2 linked regions of the Canis lupus familiaris genome follow. The protein of the gene in region 1 interacts with the protein of each later gene in a biochemical or structural test. Links are inferred from orthologs where the notes say so. Each region holds a gene or a part of one and is shown in the gene's direction. Other genes may lie near its edges.

What was found.
Region 2: of the proteins of FBXO7 (region 1) and UXT, one has a biochemical effect on the other in vitro, tested with the Homo sapiens proteins (2 studies listed by BioGRID). The link is inferred for Canis lupus familiaris from reciprocal best matches to the Homo sapiens genes FBXO7 and UXT.

What each region holds. Positions count from the first base shown.
Region 1 is NC_049231.1:32,001,337-32,011,622, reverse strand, and holds the start of FBXO7 (F-box only protein 7), read left to right. Parts: upstream 1-4,625; 5' UTR 4,626-4,833; coding exon 4,834-4,955; intron 4,956-5,047; exon of another isoform or gene 5,048-5,138; coding exon of another isoform or gene 5,139-5,175; intron 5,176-8,643; coding exon 8,644-8,938; intron 8,939-10,286. UniProt on the Homo sapiens protein: Substrate recognition component of a SCF (SKP1-CUL1-F-box protein) E3 ubiquitin-protein ligase complex which mediates the ubiquitination and subsequent proteasomal degradation of target proteins and plays a role in several biological processes such as cell cycle, cell proliferation, or maintenance of chromosome stability.
Region 2 is NC_049260.1:41,476,483-41,486,709, reverse strand, and holds the start of UXT (protein UXT), read left to right. Parts: upstream 1-3,937; 5' UTR 3,938-4,097; intron 4,098-4,274; 5' UTR 4,275-4,283; coding exon 4,284-4,381; intron 4,382-5,363; coding exon 5,364-5,460; intron 5,461-5,585; coding exon 5,586-5,653; intron 5,654-5,930; coding exon 5,931-6,038; intron 6,039-10,227. UniProt on the Homo sapiens protein: Involved in gene transcription regulation. Acts in concert with the corepressor URI1 to regulate androgen receptor AR-mediated transcription. Together with URI1, associates with chromatin to the NKX3-1 promoter region.

The sequences.
Region 1 (10,286 bases):
TGCTATGTGTTGGCAAATTGAACTCCAATAAAAAATTTTTTAAAAAAACCAAATGGCTATGTATGGAAACGGTGTATACATACACGTATCTCCTTGCTGTGTCAGGTGAAAGGCTTAGAAGCAATAATACCTCAATAGCAATGACCACACGTAGCACTCAGATCTTGGTTTCTAATACCACTCTCCAGTGAAAAGAACTAGGGCACCTTGGAAAAATGGCTGATTATAGGGTTGGGGGAGGAGCTTAGATCCAAAATGGTCCTAAAGTATCTTACAATGCCTGAAAATAAGAAAGTGCTAAAAAACAGAACAGAAGAACAAAAATCCACAATGATGTCAAATGGATACAGTAGCCAAGTGAAAGATTTCCCAGTGGCCAAAGCTGGAAAAATCTGAGCAACAAAACAAAGTAGTATTGGATTATAAGCCAAAGTATAAAATAAATATAAGTCCATGGGATCCCTGGATGGCGCAGCGGTTTGGTGCCTGCCTTTGGCCCAGGGCGCGATCCTGGAGACCCGGGATCGAATCCCACATCGGGCTCCCGGTGCATGGAGCCTGCTTCTCCCTCTGCCTGTGTCTCTGCCTCTCTCTCTCTCTGTGACTATCGTAAATAAATAAATAAATACCTTTAAAAAAAAAAAGTCCACACTGATGTAAAGGTTTGAATAGAGAATAGACAAATCTCCTGTACAGAAGAAATTCGAATAATTTATTTAGATACTTCATCCCTAATAAGGTGGAGCATAACTACCACTCTAAGTGTGGCCTGTGCATAGTGGCTTTCTTCCAAAGGCTATAATATGAAAAATAGAAAAAAGGAGTACTTTACAGTGGAGAAGCCAAGTGATCAGAATTAACAGCAACTGGGAGAAGTCATATTGACAGTATGCACTGTTGATGTGTTGAGAATGGCATCTTGACTTCAATGGTTTTCCTCCCAGGAGTACATTACCTTAGTCTAATCATGAGAATACATCAGACAAATCCCAATTGAGGGATGTTCTACAAGCTACCTGGCTGGTAATCATTAAAACTGTCAAGGTCATTAAACTGTCATAGCTGAGAAGAGCCTAAGGAGACATGATGACTAAGTGTAAGGTGGTGTCCTAGACAGGATCTGGGAACAGAAAAAGGACATTAAGAAAAAACTGAGGGAATCTGAATAAAGTAGGGCCTTTGGTTAATACAAACGAATCCACATCAATTCATTAATTGTGATAATGTTCCACACTCGTCTAATATGTTATTGATAGGGAAAATTGGGGATGTGGTATATAAGTCTTTATAATCATTCTATAAATCTAAAATCATTCTAAAATAAAATGTTTATTAAAAAAGTCTACAGGAAGGGTATGTATTCCCATAGAACAGCGACATTGTCCCTTTTATTATTCTATAAAATGGTCCATTAACATTTTTTGTTTCTGAACTCTTTGAAAGTTGCAGCAATTGTCGCTTGCAGACATTAAAGTGACATCCTGCAAGAAATTTTAAAAAGTTCTCAAGGAGGGAAATAGTTGAGAGAAGGGGTATATAACATTGTCATAGATCTTTGAAGTTTTGGAGGATTATCCTCTAGAGTACCTTAAATCTTGCTGGTGCCTTGGTGATGTTCTGGTTCTCTTCCAGGACCCTTCTAAACCTCTGTGGTTGGATTATTTCTGCCATGTTGGTGGTTATACCCTGTTGGGCAAATGATTGAGACAAAGATCCCAGTTAGTTTAGTTTTCTATTGTTTTAATAAATTATCACAAATTTAGTGGTTTAAAAAAAAACCAGTAAAGGTATTATCTCAATCTTTAAAACAAAGATATGGGACGCCTGGGTGACTCAGCGGTTGAGCATCTGCCTTTGGCTCAGGGCGTGATCCTGGAGTCCTGGGATCGAGTCCCACGTCAGGCTCCCTACATGGTGCCTGCTTCTCCCTCTGCCTGTGTCTCTGCCTCTCTCTGTGTCTCTAATGAATAAATAAATAAAATCTTTAAAAAAATAAAAAATAAAACACAGATATATTTGATACATTCTTATTACTATTTTCATTTTTATTGATAATAACTTATCCAGGTTTACATCGTACTAAGAGGTAGACTGCGGTAGATGGTCTTTAAAGATGGCCATCATATTAGCCTTGCACTGCTTTCTCCAAGAATGGTATCTGAGAGAGAAATAAACATCTTGTTGGTCACTATTATTTCGGATCTCTTAGGGCAGCTGAAGCTATATCCTTAACTAATAAGGCCTCCAAATATAGCCATTTTCCAGCTTCTATTATTTCTGCCTCTGGAATATCATACCTGTCCACCCATCATCTCTATTCTTACTGTCATCCTACTAATTCCTTTTTTTTTTTTCTCTCAGTTACCAAAAGAGCCTTCAAACTCAGCTGGTCTCCAATCCAGTGGTTTTCAAGGCAATTTCGCCCTATAGGGAGTATGTGGCAGAGTTTGAGGACAGCTCTGGTTTTTACAATTGGGGGAGAGGTTTCTAGTAGCATTTTGTGGATAGATCAGGGATGCTGCTAAACATCCTACAAGGCATACATGAGTCCTCCACAACTAAGACTCAGGAAGCCCGAAATGTCAACAGTGCCAAGGTTGAGGAACCCTGATCTAATATATCCCCTACACTCAATAGGTGATAGGTTCACATTTCAGATCTCAGCTATGCCCCTTGTGGTGTATATCTGTCAGACTCATGGCTTCCTACCGTCTTTTGAATGGCCTTTCTGCACTGAGGAAATTCCAATTATTTTAGGTCCTGCCTTTCTAAGGAAGAGTTTAGACCCCCAATTTCAGTCTCCTTTGCAGCCAGGACTCAGACGTGGGCCTCAGTCTCCCTCAATTAGATGCCCCCTATGAGCCTTTGATTTAGAAGTAAGGTGAGAAAATAGGCTCTTTTGGAAGCTTGGCATTTTGTTGGTGCAGGAGGCTGTAACAACTTGTGGCATTTGAAGGTGGCAGCCATTCTGCAGTGGTTGTCAGGGTGACAGCAGTGTCATCCTGGGGCGGGGTGCGGCAGCAGCAGCAGCTGCAATCCCAATCAGTCATAGTAGTTTCCTCACCAGGCCAGTTCTTCAGCGTGGTTCTGAGTTTCACTTCTGGAATTAGCCCGGAACCACTTCTTTAGTCCTTCACAGAATTCCCGGAGCTATCCGGTATCCTTTTTAACATGTTCCCTGTTAGTCAGCCAGACTCAATCTCTATTGCTCAGAACCAAGAAACCTGATAAAGAATCCCCTGCTTAAAACTCTGCATTGGCTTCCCATACATTCTAGAATGTGTCTCAAATCCTTTGCTTAGCTCAAAGCTTTATCTGGAAAAGTACCCACTCTGTCCTTCCCTCTGGTCACACTGAGCCACCCTGCTCCTACCAGCCTTCCTTAATCTCATATTGCTTGCCACTAAAGAATTTAGGGGCACAATCACTCTTCTGTATGTACCCCACCCCTCGGGATTGTTCTTTATAATAAAAAAAATCATTACACTCTACTACAAGAGTTGATTCATTCAACTGTAAACTCTGCACTCATTCTTTGAGTCCCCAGGCACCTGGAATAATACCTGGCCCAAAGTAGGTGTTGATGCCTGTTTGAAGATCAGGACGTGGACAAGTACTGCCACCTACTGGGAGAAACTTCATTCAACTCTAATAATGATTTGGACAATGGCTAGCATACAAGGATGAAATCTGACCATTCCCTAAGTTATCATCATTGTTGTCCGACTCCCCAGGATAGGGTTCTCCCAGGCGGCTCCCAGTGATCCCTGTCCAGTGCTATTCATGCCCTTGGGTTGATCCTCCCACACTGAAGGGTTGGCTCTAATGACAGAAGTGGTGGTGCCTGCCTTCCGAGGCTAGAGCACAAAAGACATCGCAGCTCCTGCTTTGGTCGTTCCGGGACCACGTGTTAGGAGGGAGGCCAGATGCCGTGTCGCGGGGACACTCCATTGGCCCTACGGAGGGGTCCACGCCGTGGAAACCAGGCCTCCCGCCCACAGTCGGGGGAGCTCTCCTGCAAGCAGGTTCTCCAGCCTGAGTCAAGGCTTCAGGTAACTGCAGCCCCGGCCTACATCTTGCCTGGAATCTCTAGAGACCAAGACAGACCCACCCACCCAGCCGTGCCCATACAGAACCTCTGGGACAATTAATATTCGTAGTTTTAGGCTGCGAAGCTTTGGGGTGATTGCTGAGCGACACACTACTCCTCTCGTCTCCGACACAGATCAGGGGACCACAAGCTGTTTCATATTTTGCTGTTCCACGAGGAGACGGGCAGAGCCTGGGCTGCACCGCAGGCTTCTCAGAGCCGAGGCCTGCGGCTGGAGCTGAGCGCCGCGGAGCGCAGGCGGCACGAGCCCGGCACGCCCGGGCCCGCAGAGCGGCGAGTCACGCACCCCGCAGCCGCGCCCTCGACGGAACGTCCTCCGCGGCCGCCTGGGAGGAGCCGGCACAGCCCTGGCCACGAAGGGGCCGCGCCGCCCCCGCCCCCGCCCCGCCCAGGCCCCGGCCCCGCCCCCGGCCCCGCCCCCGCCCCGCGTGGCGGCCGCGGCACCTGCGCACTGCGAGCCTCTCACGCCCAGGCGGCGCCGTTGCGCGCCGAGTCATCGATCGCAGAACGCCGAGCCGCGGGGCTGGGCGGGGGCCGCCCGCCACCCGCCCGCCCGCGGGGTGGCTCCAGGGGGCGCCCTCACGCGAGGGGCAGGCGCTCCTGTTCCAGAGACCGGCCGGCAGGGGCCGTGGCGGGGCCTTCTCTCCGCTCCTCCTCGGCACCCTCGCGGCTCCGGTAGTCGCCCCCGCCCCCCCCGGGCCCCCGGGCCTCCGGCCGCCGCCATGAAGCTGCGGGTGCGGCTCCAGAAGCGGACCTGGCCGCTGGATCTGCCCGACGCCGAGCCGACGCTGGGCCAGCTGCGCGCGCACCTGAGCCAGGCCCTGCTGCCCTCCTGGGGCTTCGGGTAGGCGGCCGGGCGGGGCGCGGGGGCGCGGGGGGGCGCGGGGGGCTCCCCGCCTGCTGCGGGCGGTCACGTGAGGCGGGGCGGCGGGGCGGCGGGGGTAGGGCCCCGGGACTGTGACGCGCGGAGGCCCGGGCGGCGCGGGCGCTAGCGCTGCGGCTCGGCGGCCCCCGGCTTGCGGCCGACATGGCCCGGCGTCCCGGGGACCCGGTCCCCCTGCAGGGTGAGCCGTCGCCTTCGTTTCTGCCGCAGGGGAAGCCGGGGACCGGCCGGGGCGGGCGCGGGGGTTCGGCTCCGGGGGGACTTTCCCGGGCTCGGTGGGGTCGCAGGTCACCGTCCCCGGCGGTCGCAGGGTTCCGGGGAACACGTCGGGAAAGTTCCAGAAGTTAGGGACCGGCCCGCGCTCCGAGGCCGCCGTGAGCGGGCTGGAGGCTGCGCCGGGCGGTGCGCGGCCCGCGGCGGGACCCGGTTCAGGGTGTGGGTGCTGCGGTGCTTCTGGTTCCCCGGCCGAGCTGTTGCTTTTTTGCTAAAACTAAGGTAAACGTGGGTCTTGGGGTGACCCTGGAGGGCTTGCGGTTTGGGGGCAGTGACGTTGAGAAATCAAGGACCGGAATCCGCTATTAATTTAATGGGGCTGCAAATGAGACTTCGTTTCCACCGAGTGTTTTCCGGGGATGACAGTCTGGGGGCCGAGGGACAAAGCTAGGGGTGGGCCTCTTCGCGAACTGAGCGAGCGAATTGGGCGTTTGAGCGTGCTGAGGAAACAAGGGTAGTCGCTGGGGCTTTCTAGGTGAATTCTTCAAAAGGAAACCTTTCTGTTAATTAAGCGGATTTTTTTTTTTTAAGATTTTATTTATTCATGAGACACAGGCAGAGGGAGAAGCAGGGTCCCTGCGGGGAGCCGGGTGCGGTACTGATCCGGGCACCCCGAGATCACCAGCTGGGCCCCCCCCCCCCAGGTGCCCCTAAGTGGGTCCTTTTTCTGAGACTTTTATAGATTTTGACTTTATTTTTAGGGAATAGAATAAAATGAGGCCATGTTATGAACTTGTCACCTTTCATTTTTCATTTTCATTTACTATATTAAAAGTAAGCCTGTTTTTTCTCCAAATCAAAAATGAGATTTGAACTGTTGAGTGTTGTATTAAGTGACACGCCTATTGTTATTTCCTGGTGGTAAGCCTAAGCATTTTGTATGTTAATGTCATCACCCCACCAGAAATCTCAAAAGGACCTTCTTTTTAAAATATTTTTTCATATGTATGTATGTGTATTTCATTAATATTTTTTTTTTTTTAATTAAGGGCACTCCTGAAAGGACTGTTTAAGAGCCCAAGTTAGTTTCTCCTTTGGGTTTGTTTTTATAGTTGAGGCTGGTTAACTGGAAGGAATGTAAGCTTCAGCTTCTGAAAGTAAATTCATTCTTCTGAAAATATGTTCACTTTATAATAAATGGGTAGTTCTAAAATACAACGGTAGGACACTATTATTTTTTAAGTGTCTTCACTGAGCAAGTGGATCTGGGTCTGACATGAATATTTTTTAAAGGCCTGGTGTTTCTAAGATAGCATTTTCTGATGAATTTGAATTTTTTCAGTTTTTAACCCCTCCACTGGAAAGTTATATGTTACTTTAGAAGTAGCTCTTCCCTTTTCCTAAATGGGGAGGGAAGTCCAGCATTTTTATTAATTATATGGTTCTTTAGCTTTTCTACAGGTGGTTGTTTGGATGAACATTGTATTGACATTGTTTGAAAAAAAAAAAAAAACCTTTTGCTGTGACAGATGATCCATAAACACATAGTTCATATGAGACATTTTTCTCTTGGGATAGTGTTTTTTTGGGGGGCATCTTCAGTATTTATTCATGGGTTTGAAAACAGAAGTATAGCTATTTATTTCCTAATAAGCAGGAGTAGTTTCTAAAATTTTAGTAATTTCTCTACCAAAGACACTTTAATTGGTAAGAAAAAGTGTTTTTACATGTGAAAGAAAATGAATTATTTTGCGTACTTTTGAAAATGCAGCATTGCAAGAATAAACAGAACATGATTTTCAAATCCTTGGTTAACCTCTCAAAAAGTTAATGAAGTTAGCATTGCTGAGTCTAAGTGTCTTATAAAATGTGCAGCGATTTGTTAATTACTCCGCACCACTATGTGATGAAATGATGGATATTCTCTCAAATCAGAGAGCCTATGATGTGGAAGGGAGGAGAGTTTGTTTCAGGCTAATTTGAGCTCCTGTTTAGCAGTGGACTTTGGGATTTGTGCTGTTGTCATTATAAAAGACATCATACATAACGTTATCAGTAACAAAGGCGACCTTGTACTTAACAGTGGGAGGGATGCATTTATACTCGGTCCTCTATATTCTCATGTTTTTGTGATTGTTAGTATTTATCTTGGACATGGGTCTAGTGTTTTGGAAGAGACATAGCTGACTGTCCTGTAAATACATTGACTAGGGAGCCCTTATTTCAGTTTCATTTCCATCTTACCAACTGATGTTTGTTGGTTGCAGGTTTTTGTTGTTGTTGTTGGTTGTTTTTTTTTTTTTTTTTTTTTTTTTTGAGGATTTTATCTGTTTGTTCATGAGAGAGAGAGACAGAGACACATACAGAGGGAGAAGCAGGTTCCCTATGGGGAGCCTGATGAGAGACTTGATCCCAAGACCCCAGGATCACGATCCTAGCCAAAGGCAGATGCTCAACCACTGCGCCACCCAGGTGCCCTGTTGGTCGCATTTATTCCACAAATACTTTTACTTGCCAAGAGCGGGAGATACAGTTTTGAACTGGACAGATAACGACCTTATGAAAAACTTAAATTCTAGTGGTGGGGGTGGAGAAGAGATGATAAATAGGGAATTTTTAAACAGTGATGTTAAAATAAAACTGAAACAGAGTGGAATAGAGTGATGGAGGCTAGGTGGAAGGAATATCAGAAGAGGTGGTATTTGAATTACTGGAATGATGAGAGTCAGTCCTTTGAAGATCTGGAAGAGCAAATGCTGAGGACCAGAGGCTGCAGTGAGGTTGATTTGTTTTGAAGAAGGGATAGAAAGCTTATATTGGCAGAGAACAGTAACTGAGGGGATGGAGTGGATGTGGTAGGAGCACTGGGGAAGGGTCAAATGTTAAGTGTCGAAGGCCATGTTAAAGATTCTGTTCCGGTTTCAAAATAGAAGCCCTTGGAGGATTTTCAGCAGAGGAATGACGTGATTTGTATTTTAAAAGGGCTATATTTCATTGACTGAATCTTAAGCTGCTGTCAATCTTAAGATTTATGTTGTTTTATGTAATGCTAAAGGGGAAAATGCTGGCAATTAAGTTGTGATGTGTCATCAATTTTTTTTTGTCATCAATTTTAAGAAGCATCCCTGTTTTGAAGATAGCATAATTACAAAAGATGTAAAATATGTATGTTAGAATTGATGAGAACATGGATGGATTACTGATAGAGAATTACCATATTGTGTCCCCCAGGCTAGAATTGTAGCCATTAGAGATCTATAACCCAGGGAATGTGGTGCTAAGAACAAATAATTTTGATAGTTTTTTGTAAAGCTTTGGCTTCCTTTTTATTTTTGTTTTCATTATTTTATTCTCCTAGGATCATAACATGTACCTTACGTATGTTCCCAGGTAATGGTAGGTAGCTCTTACTATCCTTATCCATCTTTCTTGGCAGTTCTGATACCCGGTTTGCAATCACATTGAACAACAAGGATGCCCTCACTGGAGATGAAGAGACCTTGGCTTCATATGGGATTGTTTCTGGGGACTTGATATGTTTGATTCTTGAAGATGCCATTCCAGCACCTAACTTACCTTCATCCACAGATTCAGAGCATTCCTCACTCCAGAATAATGACCCACCCTCTTTGGCCGCCAGCTCCAATGGGTCCAGCATACAGAATGAACAGCCCAGTAATTCATTCCAAGGACAGGCAGCCCAAACTGATGTCTGGAATGAGGACAATATGGTAGGTATTAATAGCAAAATGAGAAATGAGGTGGTTGACAAAGCATACTTGAATACCTCAGTTGGATTCTGTATCAGTCAGGATAATTATTAGTAGTAGATTGTAGATTATAGTCTTGTAGAAATTTTTTAAACTGCTAAATGCCTGGACCATTACTTGACTGCCATTCGAGAGAACCCAGTTTTTACCTGTTTATTTCGTTCAGACCTTTTCTCCTTCAGATAAGTTGTCCCTTGGCTCCTGTTGCTGCCTATGAGCTTGTGATTCCCAGCCTCACCACTCTTGTCTGCTCTACTCGTTCAGGCTATCTAGAGTCCAGTTATTTCCAAATTATTTGCAGGACATTTATTACCTGGATTTTAAGCGCTGCTGTCTCACCATTTGTGCCAACATCAATTTGGAAATATGAACTAATGTTCTCTTCTCAAACCAGCCATTCTGTCAGTGGCACCACTGTTTTCCTTGAGTTTAAAACCCTGGAGTAGGGATCCCTGGGTGGCGCAGCGGTTTGGCGCCTGCCTTTGGCCCAGGGCGCGATCCTGGAGACCCAGGATCGAATCCCACATCGGGCTCCCGGTGCATGGATCCTGCTTCTCCCTCTGCCTGTGTCTCTGCCTCTCTCTCTCTCTGTAACTATCATAAATAAATAAAAATTAAAAAAAAAAAATAAAATTAAAAAAAAAAAATAAAATAAAACCCTGGAGTGATTTTTGATGCTTTATATCCAACCTCTTAACAAGCCATGTCAGTTTTTCCTTTCCATTCCAGGCTTCCAATGTCTGTCCTTCAGTCTGCTTTTTGTGTTCAAGTTTTCCCTGCACAGTTTTGATTATGTGGTTCCCTTGCTTGTCCCGTAACTATGTCACTGATTCTACCTGTGCTTATAATTTTTGAGCTGAAAAAGACCTGTCTGTGTTTAACCCTATCATCTTAGGAGGAAAATGTTGCCTCTCTTCCTGTACCCAGCTTTTAAGGTTTTTTGGGGCTAGTTTGTGTTCTTCCCGCCAGTGAACTATCATCTCCAGTCAGACTCCTTTATCAGTTTCCCTGTACCAGCCAGCACATTCATATGTTCTCACTGGCGCGCACACACACACACACACACACACAGAGCCTACCCACTGTTTCATGCCTTTGCTCTTGCTATACCCCCAGCTGGGAATGCATGGCCTTTCCTCCCTCTCCTGTCTCTGCCCATCTTCCAAGGTCCTGCCAGCCACAGCCCAGGGACTGTCTCATTTCTTTGTATTGATGATCCTTATTGCCTTGGTGCTTACGAGGCAATTGATTTCAAAGCTTTTTATTTCTGGATCACATGTATTATTTAGTTTTTAAGACTGTGCTGTTG
Region 2 (10,227 bases), on another chromosome or scaffold:
CAATTAATAATAGTTCAGAAAGCATATTTTTCTACTATGTATTATACATGGCTATCATTGCACTATATGTCCATGATTCTAAAAAACCCTTTTGTATTATTCATAATAAACAAATCTGCTTTCAAAGGTTGCTTGGCAGTAATTTGAAGTATTTTACTGTATAAAATCAAATGATCCCTATTTTTAGGAGCACTTAGGTGGCTCATTTGGTTAAGTGTCCTACTCTTGATTTTAGCTCAGGTCTTGATCTCAGGGTTGAGTTCAAGCCTTGGAGCCTCTCTCTGTGTCTCTTATGAATAAATAAATAAATAAATCTTTAAAAAAATAAATTGTTGGGCTTTTATACTGATTTGTAGCAGTATTTATATATTAAGTTTACTAGCCATTGATTGCATCTGTTGCAAATTTTTCTTTGCAATTTGCCATTTGGCCTTAAGATTTTTTTTAAGATTTTATTAATTTATTCGAGAGAGAGAGAGAGGGAAAGAGAGAGAGAGGCAGAGACACAGGCAGAGGGAGAAGCAGGCTCCATGCAGGGACCCTGATGTGGGACTCGATCCCGGGATTCCAGGATCATGCCCTGGGCCGAAGGCAGGCACTAAACCGCTGAGCCACTCAGAGATCCCCCTGGCTTTAAGATTTTAAGGTTAATTGTGCATTCACTAATTTTATGAACACAATGTATCAATATATTATTCTCTCATGACTTCAGAATTTTATGTCATCACTAGAAAGGACTTCAATCTAAGATAATAATAAATATTTTCCCATTTTTTTTCCTTCTCACACACTGATGGTTCTATTTTTATGTTTAAATTTTTAATCCGCCTGGAATTTATTTTAGTGTAGGAAGTAAGAGAGAGTTCTAACTTTACTGTTTCCTGGTGAATGGCATGAAATACTTCCTTCTGCTGATGAACTGGTATGCTTTTTCCTCGCAGACAATACAAATCACATAACTGATTCCATTTCCCCTTTTGCTATTGTGGTAGGAAGATCAGAGACAAATCCACAGTTAAGTACAGAAGTGAATTTCATACCTACATCCCAATTTTCCCTGATATTAATCTTCTATTTGTTTGCATTTTTTGTGATCCTGCCTTTATTTTTCAATTTTATGAGATATATTCTTATCAGGTTCCAAATATCCAGTAGAAAATAAAGTAGGCAGTAAATGAACACCTAAGCTCTAACTCATCTGGGCCTGTCATTTCTTGCTCTTCCTTCCTTGGCTGGGAGGGAGAGAAAATACAAATAGAGATGAGAGACACAGTCTGCCTCATGTCTCCCAGAAGCACCAGCCTGAAAACACCCACTCATAAGCCAGGTAAGAAATCACCAGTGGAAGCTTGGGAGGCTCACATACTTAGGCCCACTAACCCTAACATATGTATTAGTGATTCACAGGGTTGTATAGTGCTGACATGATTGGAGTTGGCAAGCTTTTCCTGTAAAAGGCCAGATAGTAGATACTTTAGGATTTTCAGGCTAAATGGTCTCTTTGGCAACTACTCTGCCAGAATAAGCATGAAAGCATCCACAGACAATAAGTAAATGAGTACAGCTATGTTCCAGTAAAACTTTATTATTGGACACTGAAATTTGAATTTTATGTAATTTTCAAATGACACAAAATATTTTTCTTACTTTTTTCAAGTATTTAAAAAAGTGAAAGCAGTCTTCTTAGATTGCAGGCTGTAGAAAAACATCAAGGGTCAGCAAACTCTTCCTGATGCAGAGCTTGGATGAGGAAGTTTATCAGGAATATGTACAATTGTCAGCTAATACTTGATTGACAATTCAGTGACCTCCTTTAGATCAATAATTCTACATCTAGAAATTTATTACAAGGAAATAATTTTGTAAATTATTTTTGTATAATTTCGTAAACAATTACAAATAATTAACAAATACAAAACAAAAACAAAAACAAACAAAAAATTATTTTGTATAATTTTGTAAACAAAAATCTGAAACCGAAGACTGTTATCCCATCCTGGATTATAACAATGAAAAAAAAACTGGGACACATCCAAACATCCAATAGCATAGGAAATGGTTCAAAATTCTGAGGCGGGGGCAGCCCAGGTGGCTCAGCGGTTTAGCGCCGCCTTCAGTGCAGGGCCTGATCCTGCAGACCCAGCCAGGATCAAGTCCCACATCAGGCTCCCTGCATGGAGCCTGCTTCTCCCTCTGCCTGTGTCTCTGCCTCTCTCTCTCTCTCTCTCTCTCTGTCTCTCATGAATAAATAAATAAAATCTTTAAAAAAAATTCTGAGGCCATCCAAAACATGGAATGCTATGCAGCCATGACAACAATTACCAGGTGGTTCAGAAAGGGAAAAAGCAAATGGGGTCAAATACTAATATTTGGCAAGTCCAAATGCAGGCTCTATGGGTGTTCACTGCCAACTTTTCTGTAGGTTTAAAATGTCAAAATAAAGTTGGTAACATGTTTTTAAAAAGTAAAAAAAGGGGGCACCTGGGTGGCTCAGTCAGTTAAGCGTCTACCTTCTGCTCAGGTCATGATCCTAGGGTCTTAGGATCAAGCCCCAAGTTGGGCTCCTTGATCAGCTGGGAGTCTGCTTCTCCCTCTGACCCTTCCCATGGTGCGTGTATGCTCTCTCTCTCAGATAAATAAATAGAACCTTTTCTTTAAAAAGTAAAAAATGCTTTATGAAATGTAAGTTAGTAGATTTGCACAGACCTATCTTCAGTTCTTCAGAACTCTGTGTTGTTTTGTGTTAAAGATAATAAACATGGGGGGATCCCTGGGTAGCTCAGCGGTTTGGCGCCTGCCTTCAGCCCAGGGCATGATCCCAGAGTCTCAGGATTGAGTCCCACATCGGGCTTCCTGCATGGAGCCTGCTTTTTCCTGTGTCTCTGCCTTTCTGTCTCTCATGAATAAATAAACAAAATCTTTAAAATATATAAATAAAGATAATAAACATAACACCTCTTTTTTTCCCCATAGGAAAATGGTATAGATTAACTCAATAATAGTTGTCTAACTACCTGGTGTCTATTTCAATCACACGAAATGTAACTTTAACTATATGTAATATTTGAAGATTTACAAAAAAACATTTTAAAAAATTACATGTCCTTTCCAATCATCTTGTTCTTAGGGCAAAGAAAAGCTTGACTTGCTTAGGTTTTGAGCATTTGAAAGAAAAACTTGCCTTTACACACAAAACACACAAAGTATCTGAGAAGACATCACTGGCATGAGTGGGGGCTCTCGGCCCTATAGGCAGGCATAGCATTTGAGGGATTTGGTATCTGTGTTCTCCTTCAGGCTCAGCCAAGACTTGCTGGGTATGATGCTATTATTTGAAAATGTAACATGGGAAATAAATTCATTAACTTGAGTGCATACAAATAAATAAAAGTTTATACATTTAAATAAAGACTCAGGAACATTTCTAACTACAGAATAGCCGATCTTGAGCAGAGGACTTCAGCGACCCGCCACCTGATGCCTCTATTAGACGAGGTAATAGACATAGTGTTTTGTCAATATCTGCTTGGATCCTAGTTATGGATGGCAGGTTGCAAACTGGAGTTACCAAAGCTGAGTTTCAGAGAATCTGTCTCCGTTTAAAAAAAAAAATTTAATGCTCACATTCATTCCCATTACTGGGAATCAAACCCAAATCTCCCGTGCGAAAAATCAAAATCCATGGCGACAGTTCCCGGGATGTACTCTCCTTTTTACAAACCAGAACCATAACCAATTCTTGCCCGTCTGCTTCCGAAGCTCTGACTTTTAAATACTACACGCTTCTCTCTCGCCACCTGTGCGCCCCGCCTCCCCCAGGAACCCGCCAAATCCCATTAAGGCCCGCCCCCGCGAGCCACGCTCAGTCCCCACAGGCTCCGCGCTGCCCCGTTCCCACGCTGCGCGGCCGGGAGTACACTCGGTGGATTCCCTAAAGCCCCGCCCTCCTCTCCTCCGCTTCGCCCCTTTCCAGCCCTTCAGAACCGCCTTTCCCACCCGGCTATTCGGTTGGCCCGCGCCCTTGTGGTACGTCATTCACCCGCGCCACCCGGAAGCCACGGTTTATAGCAACCGTTCTTATTGCCGGCGGCTCTAAGGTGAGGGCCGCGTTTGGGTGTCCCTGGGTGGCAGAGTCCCAGAGTTGGGAGGGGCAGAAGGCGGAACCCCGGCCGGAGCCGAACGAGCCCACTCCCGCTGTCGAGGGGGTGCAGATGTACTGTGCCTGAGGCCAAACTGTGTGGTCAACGTGGTGTGCTCCGCTCCCCATTCCTTAGGAGCCCATCATGGCGACGCCCCCTAAACGGCGGGCGGTGGAAGCCACGGGGGAGAAAGTGCTGCGCTATGAGGCCTTCATCTGTGACGTGCTACAGCAGGACCTGCGGTGAGTGGCAGCGTGGAGGGCCGGGCGTGTGGAAGGTTCCACGTGGGGGGGCGGGGCGTCCAAAGTCAGGGTCTAGCCTTCTGATTGGTGGGAAAGGCATTTGGAGTCCAGCCCCGTGCGCCGATCCGGCGAGGAGGGGCGACATCCGGGGTGCTACTGGGCTGGGATGTGGCGGTTCTTGTAGAGGGTGTGTCCGCGCCTGTCTGGCCTCCCATCTCACTTAGCCGTGGAGCTAGATTCTAAAGCGGGAGTTCTTAGGTTCGAATCCTTGGCCTGGCCCCTTCGCCATCTGTGTGAAGACGTTGTACGCTGCCTCGACTTTGTGTGCCTCAGTTTTCTTATCTGTGAAATGGGAAAGTTCATGGAACCTTCCTCATGGGGTGGTTTTGAGTTTTTAATGTGTTCCCCCCTTGTAAAGGATTTAATGTGAATACTAGGGGCTCTATGAGTATGAAAAATTGTTACTATCACTATTAATCTGAGCAGGAAGTAGAGTGTTCAGAAGCAGGATAATGAACATCCTGAAAGGGATGGAAGATTTTTCTAGGGTGAGAATGGGACACTTTTTTTTTTTTTTTTGAGAATGGGACATCCTGATTGGACGGAATGTGGTAATAGTACTAATAAATAAGAGCTAAAACATATATAGAGCTTAGTTTTTGGTTAGGTGCTATTGTAAGTGCTTTGTAGTAAACAGTTCTCTTAATGACTTTGTGAGGTAATACTTGTCGTCCCTTTTTTAAAGATAGGGAAATTGACTCCTAAAGAGAAAATGAGTCCTAAAGAATTTGCTGAAGTCACACAACTAGTAAAAAGGAGAGCCTAGATTCAAACCCAAGCAGTCTGACTCACAATTCAAATCAACTTCTGCACTAAAATGCTTCTTTAAGGCATGGTGACATGAGGGTCTCAGTCATAATATGAGGTATTCTGACAGGTCCAGGGCTTCCTGTTGGTCACCATTTTCCTCTTGTCCCATCAGAAAAGTGCTGGACCATCGCGACAAGGTATATGAGCAGCTGGCCAAATACCTTCAACTGAGAAATGTCATTGAGCGGCTTCAGGTAAAAACAGCCAAGGTTAGGGACCATTTTGATGTGTTTGGGCAAGGGAGGGGGATGGGAGGAGAGACCCCAGACCAAAACCTGTCAGCTGACCTGAAAGGTGACCACTGACCCCTACCTCTTTTTCCCTGGCCCCACAGGAAGCTAACCCCTCGGAGTTATATATGCAGGTGGATTTGGGCTGTAACTTCTTCGTTGACACAGTTGTGTGAGTGTCTACCTGCCCCTCTGAGCCCACAGGGCTCAGCTTCCCCCTTCCTTCATGCAACAAATATTTTTTTTTGAGTATTTGCTATGTACCAGACACTGTGCTAGGTGCCGGGGATGTGACAGTGAATCGAATAGGACAAAACCCCTGCCCTCTCAGAGCTTCTAATTTGGGGAAGGTGGGAGGAGTGGAGTAAAAAAAAATTGCCAATAAACTGTATAGTATGCTAAACAGTAATAAAGACTTCCCCCACTTCCTCTAACCATTGTTTCCTCAGCCCAGACACTTCACGAATCTATGTGGCGCTCGGATATGGTTTTTTCCTGGAGTTGACACTGGCAGAAGCTCTCAAGTTCATTGATCGTAAGAGCAATCTCCTCACAGAGTAAGTCCATTCTATGAAGTGTCTAAAATACCACCATTTGCAACATCCTTTTCCCTTTCCCCATGGCTCTCTGAGATGATAGATACTTAAGGGCCCATTTCTCCTCCTCCCCAGGGCTAGGGCTGAGGAAAGTAGAGATGCAAAGCTCAGCCCCAAGAATAGCACATAGGAAGCACTCCATAAATGGTCTTGATATTGCTCACTCACACACACATTTGTTGGCTGTTCTATGCCAGGTTCTGTACTTGGCAGTGGGGAGGCCACAGTGAACAAGACAGAAGGGTTCCTTGAAGGCCTAATCTTGACCAGATCCAGAAGGTTTTGGCCTATAAATCAGTAAAACAAGTTACCTCCCGATTTCACCTCCTCCTAATTTTCTTGCTCCTTCACTGTGCTCTCACCACACTGATCTTCCTGGGCTTCTTGAAACACCCTCAGAGTGATCCCATCTTAGGGTAACCGCGCTCTCTGCCTATAACATGCTTTCCCTGGGTACATGCATAGCTTCCTTTTTCCTAACTCAGTTTAAGTCTTTTTTTATATAGTTTTTTTAAAGATTTATTTATTTATTCATGATAGACACACAGAGAGAGAGAGAGAGAGAGGCAGAGACACAGGAGGAGAGAGAAGCAGGCTCCATGCAGGAGCCCGACTCGAGACTCGATCCCGGGACTCCAGGATCGCGCCCTGGGCCGAAGGCAAGCGCTAAACCGCTGAGCTACTCAGGGATCCCCAGTTTAAGTCTTTTTTTAAAAAAAAATTTCAATTCGCCAACATATAGTATAGTTTAAGTCTTTCTTAAATGTCACCTCCTCAACGAGGCTGTCTGTAACCTAACTTTAAAATTGCAACCCCTGGGGGCACCTGAGTGGCTCAGTTGGTTGAGCATCTGACTCTTGGTTTTAGCTCAAGTCATGATCTTGGGGTCGTGGGATCCAGCCCCATGTCAGGCTCTGCGCTCAGCAGTGAGTCTGCTGGGGATTCTCTCCCTCTGCCCTTCCCCATGCATGTGCTTGTGCTCTCTTTCTGTCTCTCTCTCTCAAATGGATAAAATCTTTTTTTAAAAAATTGCAGCCCCTGGCACTCCTCATTCCCCTCCCTTGTTCTACTTATGACCTCTTAATGTTTGCTGTGAAATTTACTTCTTTCTAAAATTCCTTGCCTTCACCCATTAGGATGTAAGCTTTACAAAGGGAGATATTGGGATGCCTGGGTGGCTCAGTGGTTGAGCATCTGCCTTTGCCTCCAGAGTTGCTGGATTGAATCCCACATCAGGCTCCTTCATGGAAGCCTGCTTCTCCTCCCTCTGCCTGTATTTCTGCCTCTCTCTCTGTCTCTCATGAATAAATAAATAAAATCCTTAAAAAAAAAAACAAAGGGAGATATTTTGTCTATACTCGCAAGTGACCAGAGTAGTACATAGCATATAGTAGGTACTCTGTTTGTTGAATGAATTTAAAAGGGTATCCTAGGAACAGATTGAGGGGGGATTGAAGCACATCTCTGGTGGTGGAGAGGAAGGTAATGTAGGGAGAAAGTATGGGCTCCAGTTGAGTTTAAGGCTTTGTGCAGGGAAGGGAAATTGGAAGTGTGGATGAGAGGTTTGAAATGTAGCCAGGAAAGGCCTTCCGGGGAAGTGACAATTGAGTCTCTTGGTCGAGTGAACAAGCCATTGGGGCTTTGTGGGGAGAGCATTACAGGCAAGGGGACCAGTGTGAGTGCCGTGTTAGCAGAATTGCCAAGATTGGCAAACATGCCACAAGAGGGGATACCAAGCAAAACACTTAGATTAATACCATCTTACAAGAGTGAATACCACTTATCTAAAATGCCTTCTAGGTCTGTTTATGCCTACATTCATTTATTCCAGAGTTGCTTCTCTTCTGGTTTTAGTAATTCTTCTCTTTTCAAACCATTCCAAGGTTTCCAAGTGTTAGTAGACCCAAAAGAGCCTCAGATCTGCCGAAATTTCTTTTTTAAGATTTATTTATTTATTTGAGAGACACAGAGTGAGAGAGAGAATGAGCGGGGTGAGGGGCAGAAGGAGAAGCAGACTCCACTGAGCGGGGAGCCTGATGCGGGACTGGATCCTGGAACTCCAGGATCATGACCTGAGCTGAAGGCAGACACTCAAGTGACTGAGCCACCCAGGTGCCCTCTGCTGAGATTTCTAAATCTTGGTGATCAGACCAATTAGTGAAGGGGTCAAGGGGCCTGCTTTCATGGGCCAACACAGTTCTGAACTAGTGGTCATTCAGACCACATCCATTTTTTTTTATAACAGAGCTTTCCTTGTTATGTCACGGAATTCCTGAGCCTTTCAGATAGAGATTTTCATTTTTTGAGACTTGATATCTCTCCCCCAAAATGTATTTAAATTGTCAGTGCCTTCCCACTTGTCTGGTCTTTTTGATATATTGACTTGGTTTATTGGAATGAGAAATGTGATTGGATCTCTTATTACTTTATTATCATTAGGAGGGCTTCCTAGAAATTTAATCTTCCTAGGAGATGAAGATTTGAGTCTGAGTAGCTCACTCTCCTTTTTAAAATATTTTGTTATTTGGGACACACCTTGAACTAACTTTCTTTCGGGTTATTTTATGACTGTCAGCCAGTCTTTCTTTTAGCACATTTCTTTGGGGGAGTGGGAGGATCAGATCTGTGTGTATATTCTTTCCTGATTATATAGAAAGGAGAACACATCCACAGACATGTAACTCTAGAAGAGACAGAATAGGGGCACCTGTCTGGCTCAGTAGCTGGAGTGTGTGACTCTTTATCTTAGGGTTGTGGGTTCAAGCCCTACATTTGGTGTAAAGATTGCTTAAAAATAAAATCTTTTTTAAAAAGGAGAGAGAACAGACAGTAACCATTTGAGTATTTATACTGCTTTACCTATTAAATCAGTAGCAAAAAATGAAGCATCTCCTGTGTGTTACAACTAGCATTTGGTGGGCTTTGTATTTTTCTCCTTTTTTAAAAGTGTTGCAACTCATAGCCTTTCCTAAACTAAGCTTGTACCATTAACTAATTTTGTTCTCTTTATTGATGTTCAGATTGTCCTTAGAAGCCAATCAGGTTCATTACTCTGTTCTTTGAATTACTACCCCAGATATTCTTGAAAGCATTCCTGTTCTCGGGCAACAGTGCCATGCTTCATTGATTTCTTGTCTTTAAACATAGACTCAAACCATCTCCTGAGGACTTCAGGTTCCTTTGAATGGAGTAGTCTATTCAGTTATTTATTCAGCATATGTTGGTGCCTACTATGTGCTGCATACTGTTTGGTTCCTGGGGATACAGCAGGGAACAAAGCAGATCAGTCTGTGTTCTCTGCCCTTACATAGCTTACATTCTAGTCAGGGGAGTCAGACAATAAAAAAAGAAGTAAACGATGTAGTAGGTCACAGGTTGGCAGTGCTACAGAGAACAGCCCGGAATGGAGAGGAGAAACATTCCCCAGAAAAAATTTTTTATGACTTTGTATGATGACAAATGGTAATTAGTTTTACTGTGGTGATCGTTTGACAGTGTATCCAAATATCTGATCATTATATTATACCCCTGAAACTAAGGTTACATGTCAATTATACTTTAGTAATTAAAAAAAGGAGGAGTGCCTGGATGGCTCAGTTGGTCAAGCCGCCAACTCTTCTGCTCAGCTCTTGATCTAGGCTCAGGGTCCTGGGATCAAGCCCCATGTTGGGCTGGGGGGGGGGGTCTGTGCTCAGCGGGGAGTCTGCTTGAGGTTTCTCTGTCCCTTTCTGTCACTGCCCTCCCTCTCTCTCTCAAATAAATAAATCTTTTAAAAAAATTTTTAAATAGGAAAAGAAACATTGCCTAGGATGGAGCAGTTGCAATTTTAAACAGAATGCTTGATTGGCTGTAAGGTGTGAAAGTTTTGGGCTGAACAACTGGAAGGATGGAGTTGCCATTATCTGAGAGGGAGAAGATAGAGGAGGAGCAGATTTGCAGAGGAGGATCAGGAGTTCAACCTAGGACCAGTTAAGTATGAGGTGCTTATTAAACAGTGAAGTGGAGTTTTTGAAGAAGGAGTTAAAACTCCCAAGGCTGGAGAAGGGTCTGAACTGAAAATATAAATCTGGAAGATACCAATATCTTGGTATTCAAGATATGGGTTCATAGTGCTGTATTTTTTTCCATTTTAACATTCTATGTTGTTACC